2 linked regions of the Drosophila melanogaster genome follow. The gene in region 1 interacts genetically with each later gene. Each region holds a gene or a part of one and is shown on either strand. Other genes may lie near its edges.

Region 1 (6,644 bases):
GTAGATTCTTCCAAATGAATCACACCGATTTTAATCAAAAGGTGGTAGTAGTTCGCCAGGGGGAACTGCGTCGGATCAGGCTCTGTTGGGTTATATTGCAGCGATAAGGTCCATTGCAGCGATAGGGAAGGTGCTCGAACTCGGCTCGTAGTGCTCCATGAATATTACTAGAAAGCAAACAGAGGGGAGTCGAGTCAAGTCGGGCAGAAGATATCCACTACCCTTCCCGCTCTTTTTGGCCAGAGGGATCGGGCTGGGTTGTGCTGGACTGAGATGGGTTAGTCAGTGTGTCAAGTCCGGGCGGGAATGGGTCGGTATAGGACGGTATGGGATGGGCTGGGATGGGTCCCATGTCCCATCCTGGTTGTTTGTTTACCTTCTTGTTCCGTTGCAATTTATGAGTGCACGGCGATAAGGGTTTATCGTGGCATGGTAGTGGTGGAAAACTGCACTCTGCATCTGAGTGACGGCGATAAGATAGCGACTCCTGGAACTACTCAGCTCAGCTATCGGTCGTTCAATTCGAATTCGCTGCATTGATAGCGTCGATAGCGTCGATGGAGATAGTCAGCCATCCGGGCGGCCCAATCAATATATAAATGATTGTTGGAGGTCAGTTGCTTGAGTCAACAAAGGTTGGGAAATGAAAACTAATTTATGGTACTTTTTTTCCTTTTTCTTGTATTTCAAACATTAAAATAGTCGATTTTGGTTGTCGTTGACGTTGTGTTTGTTTTGCATGATTTATAATAATATTAATTTTACTAGCTTTAGAGTTGGATTTTAATTCTTGCGTTGACATTTATTGAATTTTATATTGTGTATTTTACAATAATTTTCATTTGTTTCTGTGTCTGTCAGTGTCAGTATGTGTGTGTGTGTGTGGGTGTTTATATTTAGACTATTTTTTATCAAGTTTAATTAATTAGCTTAGCTCAATGTAAAAATGGGTCTTTGTTTTGTGTTTGCAATTGGTTTTTTATTTTTCATTACGCACAATATAACTAATATTAAAAATTATTGAATAATAATTGCAGTTTCGCTTTTTATGTGATTTTTTTTCATTTTTGTTTTTTGCTTTCATTATTTATGCTAATTAAACGTTAAATGCTATACAGTATTTATATTTATACTATGTTTACTTTCAAGTGGTGTGGCATAATTTCATACAATTTGATTAATTCTCGAGTTAGTTAAAAATTGGTTGCTTGCAATGGGTCCTTAGTTAAATTGGGTTTCTTGGGGAGGGGGTTGCTTAAATGTATCTATTTATAGATTATTTACAAAATGCCTTAATCTAACGAATTCGTACAACAACAGAAGACACATAATGTAAATGAAATGCGGGATTTTGCGATACATGGGCGTATATCGATGCGCGTATATATAAATGGAAATTTGTTAAATTATTCAGTTAAAACGTGTCGTTTTCTTATGCATGGCCAGATTTTGTTGCTTAGATAGTTGAAGATTCTTAGGGTTTTGCTGGACTGCTCAATATGATGATTTCGGTTTTAGATTTCTTTTTGGTTTTGATCTTTTGCGATTCGAATTCGATTGCGATTGCCTTTGGATAAAGGGTTTAGTATTTGTATCTCTCTTTTTGGGACTGTTTCATTTGGGGCTTTGTTTTATGAAAGAACATTACACACGATCCCTTCTTTACATCTCCTCTCCTCAATCTTCTCCTTAATCGGATACATTTAAAATGTGATTTCAAATTTTCAGTTATAACCGCTTTGATTGTTATTGCTTGTTTCGAAACAACGAAAACAAATGGCACGGAATTATTATTTTGTATTTGTATTAGCAAAACGTAAAATTGTTAACAAAAGTTCTGCTGCACTTACAACTACATCACGGTTTCTTTCGCTCCTCCTCCTCCTGCTCTATGTCGATTTAATAACCCCCCGGAACAGAATCTATATAATCTACAATATATAGTACTGGAACTGAACAACACAAAAGGCAGCGCTCTCGATCGGCTCTTCATAGGTATCTCTATATGTACAAGTGCGAGTTGCGGCCCAAGACTCACGTGCTCAAAGGATGAGGATGCGAGTGCGGATGCGGATGCGGCCAGGTGCTAAAAGCCACCGCCACTGCACTCGCTAATTGGCAGGCCCGCTACAAAGCCGCTGCCTGTGGAGATCGGGATCTATAGCTATAGCTACAGAAGATTCTGCAGAGCGGCGGCTCCATTGAAAGCCAGGCCGTGATTCCAATTTCTGTAGCCTGCCGCCGCGGCATACTGCTGATAGTTGTTGTACAACTGCTGCTGGGCGGCCTGATGCTGCTGCAGTTGCTCCTCGCTCAGATCGCTGGTGATGTTCGATGAGTCCTCCTGCAGTTCCTGCAGCAGTTGTTGCTGCTGCTGGTGGTGTTGCTGCTGCGCCGCCGCCTGCTGTTGTTGCTGCTGCTGGTGCTGCTGTTGCAGCTTCTGTGAGTAGTTAGAGCCCGATCCTGAACCCGATCCTGACCCAGATCCCGAGGCCGAAGCCGATCCCGCCTTGCCGCTGGCCTTTGCTGATGTTGCTGGTGTATTGGAAGCGGATGTCAGTTGCTGCGCCGACTGCTGCATCTGCTGCTGCTGCTGATGCAGCTGGTGCTGCTGCTGTTGCTGCTGGTGTTGCTGGTGCTGCTGCTGCAAGTGCTGTTGCTGCTGCGAGCGCAGCATCTGCTCCGCGCGTCCTTAAGCCAGCGGGTATTGGTGATGTCACAAGCTCGTGGTTCCGGCGGGCGCATGGTAGCCAAGACTCTGGTAGTAGGAGTCCTGGCCTAAGGCAGCGTGTGAGTTGGTCAGCGGACTGAGGGCGTTGTAGCCGGCGTACTGGCTCATGTCGTACATCTTGATGTCCGCCTTGGACTCCGTGGGCAGCAGGCGGTTGATGGAGAACGGATGGCTGGAGGGCGTGTAGCCAGAGGGCTCCTGCTTCAGCGGATGCATCGACGAGTGGTAGTCGGTGATCAGCGACGGATGGCACCGATTGGCCATCATCGCCGACAGCTCCTCCTGCTGCAACTGGTGGTGCTGATGGTGGTGATGTGTGGGCACATGCTGCGGCTGCTGGCTGAGGCACAGTTCGGCATTGGCATGCAACATGGCCAGGGCCTCCGCGTCCTTGCTGTGCGCTGCACTCAGGACATTTACGCCGGCGATCGATGCTCCGCCCGCCTCCTTGTGGTGCTGATGATGGTCCAGCCGGCTGTGGTGGTGGTGGTGCATGTGGTGCGAGTCCTCGTGATCCTTCTTGCCCGGACTGGTGGCCTCCAGGCTGCTGTGCGACGGACTCTTGTGCAGCTGCCTAATGGCCTCCTTCTTCTCGTCCTTGAAACGCTTCTGTCGCCGCAAATAGCACCCGTTCTCGAACATATTCCCCGAATCCGGATGCAGAGTCCAAAACGATCCCTTTCCTGGCTTGTCCGGCGTCCTGGGAATCTTTACGAAGCAATCGTTGAAGCTCAGCGAATGTCGAATGGAGTTCTGCCAGCGCTGCTGATTCTGCCTGTAGAACGGAAACAGATCCATGATGAACTGATAGATCTCCGAGAGCGTCAACATTCTGGTGGGGTTATTCTGAATGGCCATGGTGATCAGTGAGATGTAGCTGTATGGCGGCTTGGCATGCGTGTAGCTCCTTCTGTACGTAGTTGGTTTGTCCACCCGCGATCTGCCTAGGGAATTCGGCGATCCCGTCTCCATTTCCCGGGATCCCGGCGGCATGGCGCCATAGGTGCCGCTCAATCCCGCCGCCGACATACTCGCTGCCGACATGGCCATGCAGCCACCCATGTTCCCGAGCGGTGATCCCATGCTGGCGTAGCTCATCGAGCTGGGGGTCATGCAGTTGCCGCCCATTGAGTTCATGGCCGCCGCACCCATGCTGCCGTTCATGCTGGCATTCATGCTGGCGCTCATACTGGCACTCATGCTGGCGCTCATGCTGGCGACCGCCGCCGCCGAGTCCAGGACGCTGGAGCTGAATGTGGCCGCCGCCTGAGGGGAAACCGATGACATGCCACCCACCGGCAGGCCCATGCTGTTCATTGTGTAGGCGGATCGAGCCAGGGGACTCATGCTGCCGCCGTTGCTCGTCGGATTCGGGTTGTTATTGCTGGGCGGTGGGGGCCCACCGCCTCCTCCTCCGCCGCCGCCTCCACCGCCGCCCGACGGAGGACCACCGCCACCCGAGCTGGCCATGCTCACCGGAGCACTGCTCGGAGGCGGCTCCGCGTAGAGCTTCTGCATGATGTCAATGGTGGTCTGGTGGGGGCTACCCTTCAGAAAGCTGTTCAATAGTTGCGCCGTTATGTTGCCGGCTTTCGGAGGCGCTGCCCTCTGGTGGATCGATGGAAAAGGCAACGCGTTCTGCAACGCGTTAGTTAAAACGAAAATCAAAAAGGAGGTCTTTAAAACGTGGCTTTACTCTGATATATTGTATATCAACTGTGATTTCAGTGCACTATCACTGCTTCAATCGGTTTGCATATATCTGGCATTTTATCGAGAGCACTTCGGCACTTGTCACTTGTTGGCTGGAAGGTTCTGATTCCGTTTGCGATTCTGATTCTGATTCTAAGCTTTGTTTGTAAACACACACCGTGGTTTAATTATTTGTGCGGGATAATCATATAAAATATATATTTATTTTCTGTTATGATTCGATTCTTTTTGTATTTTCTTTGTATTTTTGTATGGGGATTTTTGTTGTCTGCCGCACCGAGCGGCCACAAAACACCGACGCACGAACGTGAATATCTAGCTGGCTGTTGGCCACTGAAGTCTGAAGCTGGGAGTTGTGCTGTGCTGTGCTGCTGCTTTTGCTGCTGCTGCTTTTGCTTTTGCTGCTTTGGCTGATGCTGCTGTTGCCGTTGCCGCTTTAGCTGCTGGTCCGCTCGAGTGTCTCTTTGGCTTGAGCTCTTGAATGTGACTGTTTGCAGAGGGGAACGCTTGTCTACTATTTGGCTTGCGCTTGCTGCCAACAAATATTGTTCGAGCCGCGCTCAAGTGCCTCGGCCGACGTCGGCGTCGACAGCGGCGGCAGCGGCAGCAGCGACGCGCCCGGGCAGCACCAGCTCCGACTCGTTCTCGCCAATGGCCCGGCGGTATAGTGCGTCTCACCACCACCCTGGCGGAGTTACCAATGACAGGCGGCGGTTCTCTTACGTACACAGTGGTGCTGCGGCGCAAGCGCATTGGTCGGTTGGCCTCTTGTATCAACAGAGCAGGGCCGGTTGCCAGGCAACTGGCCATTGGGGGGGCGTGGCCAGGCCGCAGTCAGCAACGCCCTCCACTCACACACCCTCAGCGGTGCGGACAGAGATACACGGGCAGAGATACCGGATACGCATACAGCTGCAGATACATTCGCAGTGGCCTAGCCTAATGCTGAGCGACGCCATGTTACAGTTAACGATTTTCCCTAATGCGATCAATAATCGCTCGCTCTCCTTCTCGCCGTAGCGTGCTATCAGAAAATAAAAAGAAAAAATGTGGAAAAAAAACCATTAAGACGGGTTCTGGAGACCGAATCTCTGGGGAGACTGAGAATGCGACGACGCTCTGTTTTTCGAGAGAAACAAAAAGACCGAGTGTTTTGGCCTGGCCTGGCCTGGCTTGGCTTGGCTGGGTTTGGCTCCCAAACAAGACATTTAATAATATCTGTGTGTGTTTTTTCAGCCAGTTTTTTTTCGTATCCGTACCGCTTTTTCCCTTTTGAGGTTAAGGTATGCCAATGTCACTCTCATTCATTCCCATTCGCATTCGTGGCGAGGCATCGCGAGCGGCAGCAGCAAATCATCAGAACAGCGGCGCAGTTCACCTTTTTGGCAAGTCATTGCGAAAGTGACCCAGTTCTGCATCTGGCCAGCATCAGCCGCATCTCATCCGAGCATCCCACTGCATCCTACCTAAGATACCCGAAACATAAGCATCCACAGTTCATTGATAGCGCGTGCTGGCAGCTACTTCCTGGTATCCTGGCAATTTATCCACGTTTATGGTCCCGGATAAAACGCATTCTAATTTCGGGCCATAAACCATAGACGCCTTTCCTATTCCGCTTAACCCTTTCGCTTGGCCAAGTGTATCTGCGAGTGCCTGTGTGTGTGTGTCCGTGTGCGAGTGTGTGCCAATCCGTGAGAGTGTATGTGTGTGAGCCAGGCTCATTATTGCGTGTCATAAAAGGACGATTGTCTCGTTTCTCAATGAATGTTTTGCTCAATTAAGATCTACCTGAGCGGGAGGAAAAGCGGGGAATTTCCGCATTACTTTTCCATTTGTCAATGCAGCAGTTCTTTCTCCTCTCACTTTTTTGTAGCCTTCATCTAGGCGCTGAGACATTGAATTTTTGAAATTATCAATGAAATGTAATGAAACATTTCGCTTGTGGGAGAAATCACATTTTTATGATCGCCCCATTTCCGAGTAATTATAATGACTAATGACTTATGTCATATAGAGCCGTTTCCCCTTCACAAAAGCACTACTGAGTAATATTTTTATCATATTCAAGATTATCTTCAAATTGTTTGAATAATTGTTTACAATAACCATGGGTTAGATAAGATTGAGAGATAAGCGAAACTGAATCAGGAAAAAATCTTTCGCTCAACAATGGTATTCATAATATTTAACCTGTTTA
Region 2 (5,185 bases), on another chromosome or scaffold:
TTGAGGATCGCGCTGGTAGGGTTCGCCCTCATTTCCGCGTACTCCTCTGCGCGGCGCATTCTTAATGAAAACGTGCGGCATCTTTAATGAATGACCAAAGGGAACTGGAATAGGTAGCCCAGACATCCGTCACGGTTGCGACAACTACATGGCGATCCATTCGATTCACTTGTCTATCCGCCAGATACATTTCTCCATTAGCCAACGCTCAGCCCTCCGGAGTCCCCTCCATTTTCATTTCCATCTCCGACTATTTTATTGAGTTCCCTAGTCTGTTGATTTTTCTCATTTACTACCGACGGTTGTACTGTTGTACCAGACCCTTAACTAATGGCCATCGTTGGCCGCGAGCTGTTTGTCTTTCAGCGCCATAGAATGCCCAACTTTTTGACCGTTCCCAGCCCCCTAGATAAAGTCGGTCCATTGACACGCGGCGATGACTTGGAACCGACTAAAAAGCGAGCTGCGATCCACGAAAAAACACAGACTGCCGATGCAAGAGGCGCGTGATCTCAAAAAAATCACGGAAAAGCTATAAATAGTTGGTGTTTCGAGTCTCGCAATATACAACTTTGAAACAACCCAGCAAACTTTCATTGAATCGCATTTTACTGTATTTACTATATAAATTAGCAATGAAATCAATGCAATAATACACGGATAATTAAAAGATATTTTTAGGTACATTTTTTCTATTTTATCTTCGATAATAAAATATAATGTTCGAAATGTAAAGTAAAAAATACAAGTGATATAGCATTTTAAAGTGTGATTCTCTCCAATGTGGATGCAAAATTTCAGTTGGTCATGTGTGGTCACGCACCGCCCCAAAAATCCAGCAACTCCGCCCCGGGGTAACTTGTATTTTGGCCACATACACAAATTGACGCACCAGAGTCAAATGTTTACAACTCGAAATTCAGCTGAAAATTTTACCAAAAAAAAAAAGTGTTGGATCGGCAAACCCGTTTTGGAGTGCAAACAGACCCCGTGGAAAAAATACAAAGTTTTAATTGGTTGGACAAACAAAACTCAAAACGAGCGTCTAAACAAATCAAAGCCACTCTGCGGCGAACAACGAACAACGTACTGTGAATCCAGACCTCAGACACACCGAAAAAAACAACTCAGATTTACATTTTAATCTCAGATTATCCTAGTTTAAGGGTTTTTGTTAGTGAATATCTTGATCTTTTGTATTGCATCTATTTGATATCAACCACTTATTAAACTATTTACATATGGACTCCAAGTAGTAACTCAAAAACCATGATTATGTACAGTAGGCATTTAATGAAAGAAGTTTCAATAACAACGGATGGGATATAAAGATAAAAGATTCCTTCAACTTCCAATCTACGGCTGAGACAAGGATTCCTTTGACAAATTCAGAGCGTCTATAATAAAGATCACAAAAGATAAGAGACTTTTTCTCTCTGTGCAACAAATGTGAGCAACTGAAACACGTTACACTTAATTTTTGGCGCATGCAAATTGAACGATTAGCCACGGGGGTTACAGCAGGGGTATATAAATCCCGCCTAGGACTCCAATTCTGGGCCTTCTGAGAGTTAAAGGTGTGCTCGCCCTGAACGATCCGACCCACCTGAGAGTTCGATGTTATGGGGGCTCTCTACCTGTTGCCGGGTTCTCGATGGCGATGGCCGCAAATTGACCAGCCGGGTGAGCGAGCGAGAGGCGAAATACCGCCGCTGTCTTACCTGTTAGAGGGTGTGGCCTAACCATCCGTCAGCCAGCCGATCATCGATCGGGCCAAAACGAGATGGCTATAGGACCGGTAGAGAGCTAGCACGCTAGCCGGCCATCATATCATCCATGGGCCAAAACAAGAAAACAACAACGATGCCACGATGTCGATCGGCTGGCCAAAGACGAGAGATGAGAAATAGAGGAACCGAAAGCGCGGCTTGTGATGGTTGAAAAAATTAGCACCGATCGTTGATCATTAGCTCGGGAACGGTGGCAACGCAAACACACGATCGGCGGCAGCGCTAAACTCCAATCTCGAATCTCGACTCGAATCAAATATCTTGAAATCTTTGAAAACAAATTTCACGCGGCTGTATCTTCCCACTTGAATCTGAACTCATACGATAGTGATCCTTGATAAAGTGAACCCTCTAGGGAATTAGTGCTATAAAAGTGCGTGATTTGGCAGTGTTGCGTATTCAACTAAAATCTAAATCTAAACCTAAACCATCTTCATAAGGAGTTTACCACTGGATTATATCGAGAGCGCCGAGTTTCGGCGTGAAGCAGGTTACCAAATTGGTAAGTTAGTTGCACTTTATCTCAATTTTGGTTTCAAAATTTTAAGTTTAAACTTCATAAGAAAGAAACTTAAACGAAAATTCGAAGTTTATTTTAAGAAACGCTTGTATTCCTTTTTAAAACATCTTTATTTTCGAACAGAAGTGTTAAACACTTCGTTTTAAATGCTAATAACAGCTATTAAACATTGCGAAACGTTGACTAATCTTTTTACTATTCAAAAAAGAAAAATCAGACATTTTTACGATGGAAGTAGACTTATGCGTCGGCAAAGGATATGTTGTACTTTTAAATATATATTTGGAAATAATTAACTTTTTGAGAAGAAAATGTAAAAAATGAAGTAGAATTGTGGCAGACAAACACTGACCCCAAAACATATGGCTCCCAAAAAAATCATAAAGTCACTTCTCCGATTCAAAAGTTTGGGTGCCATAAAGTGCGAGTGTTTATTCCTCCGTGTGACATATGACCATAAACGTAATCAAATAGCAAATTGGCAAACCTATTTAAACGAACGTGTGAAAATCAAATGCCGAAGCCAAACAAAATCACCAAACAGACATATTTTGACACTTGGCCAAAAAAAGAAGAAAAAAGTCAAGACGAAGTGTTGGCGGCTCGCCCGAAATCCAACGGGCAAGTGACAAAATCCCCCATTAACGATCCTAATAATACCTCTAATGACATAAAACAGCAGCCGAGAAAGGGGCGGGAGTGGCCGTGGGCGTGGCCGACGTTCACACGCAAATTAGTGGGGACATAAGAATTTTCAGACATGCGTCTGGGTATTGCCAAAAAAAAAACATCAAGTTGGATCGATCTGAGGCGTCCAATTACGACGCATGTGAAAATTATCCTATTAAATGCAAATCAAAGAGGCCCATAAACAGACCCGAAGGAACCCCCCTCACCCCTCCGCAACGCCCACGCAGATCGTTTAGTACTTGACAAATGCTTACTAATTAATTACAGTTTGTACAAAATTTTAGTACGCCGCTCATAAAAGTGCGCCTACCACTGTGCCGTGGAGTGCTGAAAACAAAAGTGTGACAATCGGTGTTTAAAGAAACGCCCACAAATCGCCAAAAAAAATATATCGAAAATATCCTGAAAGGTCACCAAGTTCTCAATGGAGCGACCTCTGACATTGTCCTCCGGAAACATTATTGATTGCATTAGAATCGAGCCAATTCACGGCTATTTCCATTTCAGTTCGCCCACGCAGTATCTAAATTTAAATTCGGTTTATTTTCACGCGAAGTGGTGTGTGAAATTTAGCAGATTCGGTTTAATCGCCTCCAACTGGCTACCAGTGACTTGTCGTCATCCATGCCACCCGCCAGCATCCTGAGCAGGTGCGAAATATTGTCCTTTTCAACAAAGTGCGAATGGGAGTGGGATAAGTCGATCGGAGTAGCGAATAAACAAACAGAGCATTTATTATTGCACGTGTTCGATTACCTGAGAGGAGGGCAATTGTGGTTATTGCTTTGAATTATATAATAGATACACTGGTTTTTATATTTTATAGAAAATCGATAGGTTAGCAACATCATCTCTAACTAATTTTAATACATTTAATATTTTAGCATTTATTGAATTTCATGTTTAACTACAAATGCAGCGCGGAATCAGTTAAAGTTGAACTATAATAATATTATTATAATTATTATAATATAATGAACTATTATAATAAAATGCTGCAAATTTAACATGATTTTTAGTGACTTTAGTGATAATCGTTTAAGAACCATTAGAGTGCGCTGGCACTCCTTCCTTTAAAAGTTAAAGCTGAACCCATCGAAATGTATCTATGAGATTCGCCGAATGTGTTTCCATCGGCGACCATTAGTGCGTACCTGTACATTGAGTACGTAAGCGCCATATTACCAAAGGTTCGCTTCGATTTGGAATAGCGCGCACATTTCATACGAAAAAAATAGGAGGAAAAAACCCCCTCAAAGCGTCTGAGTAAATATCAAAGTCACGAAATGATTCAAAAATCAACAGAGCCAACAACAAAGCGGCTGGCCCGAGATGGGGAAAGAGTCCAATGCAAACCCCAAGCCCCAAGCCCGAAAACCCGTCATGGCTGCCATCAAAAGTCAAAGTATATGCCACATATATACACATGGGCAAACAGTCACACACGCTTCCTCCGCTGAGGAGACAACACACAAAAACAGCTTTTCATTAAGCTTAGTGATGGAGCCGGAGCTGGGACACCGCGTCTTAAAATCGTGGTGCTGGAGTGGCGCGGTGGTGCGGATCGATGTGGAACACAAACACGGCCATGAGACGAGCCATGTGGCGGGGAGCCATGTGGGGGAACCAGCGTCATGAAGAGTGAATTTTTATGATGTCGTCGATGTCGCCTATTGGGCACATGAGAAAAACCCGCCAAGTATCGCGTGAAAATTATGATAATGCGGAGCGAGCACGAGCTGGGAAAATCGGAAACCTTTGAACATTCATAAACTGAATATAACTTTCGAATGCTGGCCCAAAGTGGTTGAACTTTTAAACTCGGCCGATTGAATTCGAATTGAAACTTTTAATTGGGCCCAGCTTCTGGTTGAAATGGTACGGACATTCGGGCAATAAGATGTCCCTGGTTAGTTGACAAGTATGTTATATTAAAGTTGGTATCCACTTTTAGAAGTTAAAATTGAAATTTATCCAATGTAAATGTATCTTAAGAGTTCTGATTTGATTCGTTGTCAACTCCACAACACATGTTTTCGAAAACAGCTCGCTTTGATTGATTCGCTCTCCTTACTTTATAATTTAATAGCCTTCAGATAACACATACATATGCATCCGCTGATTGATGATTGATTTGATTATATGTCTTGTTTTCACCTAGAACCCGCAGGAAAACCTGTTCGCT

Evidence for each region.
Region 2: of fkh (region 1) and byn, changing one enhances a phenotype caused by changing the other (phenotypic enhancement), as found in Drosophila melanogaster (one study listed by BioGRID).

Annotation. Positions count from the first base shown.
Region 1 is NT_033777.3:28,580,305-28,586,948, forward strand, and holds fkh (fork head), read right to left. Parts: upstream 4,961-6,644; 5' UTR 4,250-4,960; coding exon 2,717-4,249; coding exon of another isoform or gene 2,171-2,716; 3' UTR 672-2,170; downstream 1-671. UniProt on the Drosophila melanogaster protein: Fkh promotes terminal as opposed to segmental development. In the absence of fkh, this developmental switch does not occur. The nuclear localization of the fkh protein suggest that fkh regulates the transcription of other, subordinate, genes.
Region 2 is NT_037436.4:11,925,732-11,930,916, forward strand, and holds the start of byn (brachyenteron), read left to right. Parts: upstream 1-1,961; 5' UTR 1,962-2,292; intron 2,293-5,185. UniProt on the Drosophila melanogaster protein: Required for the specification of the hindgut and anal pads.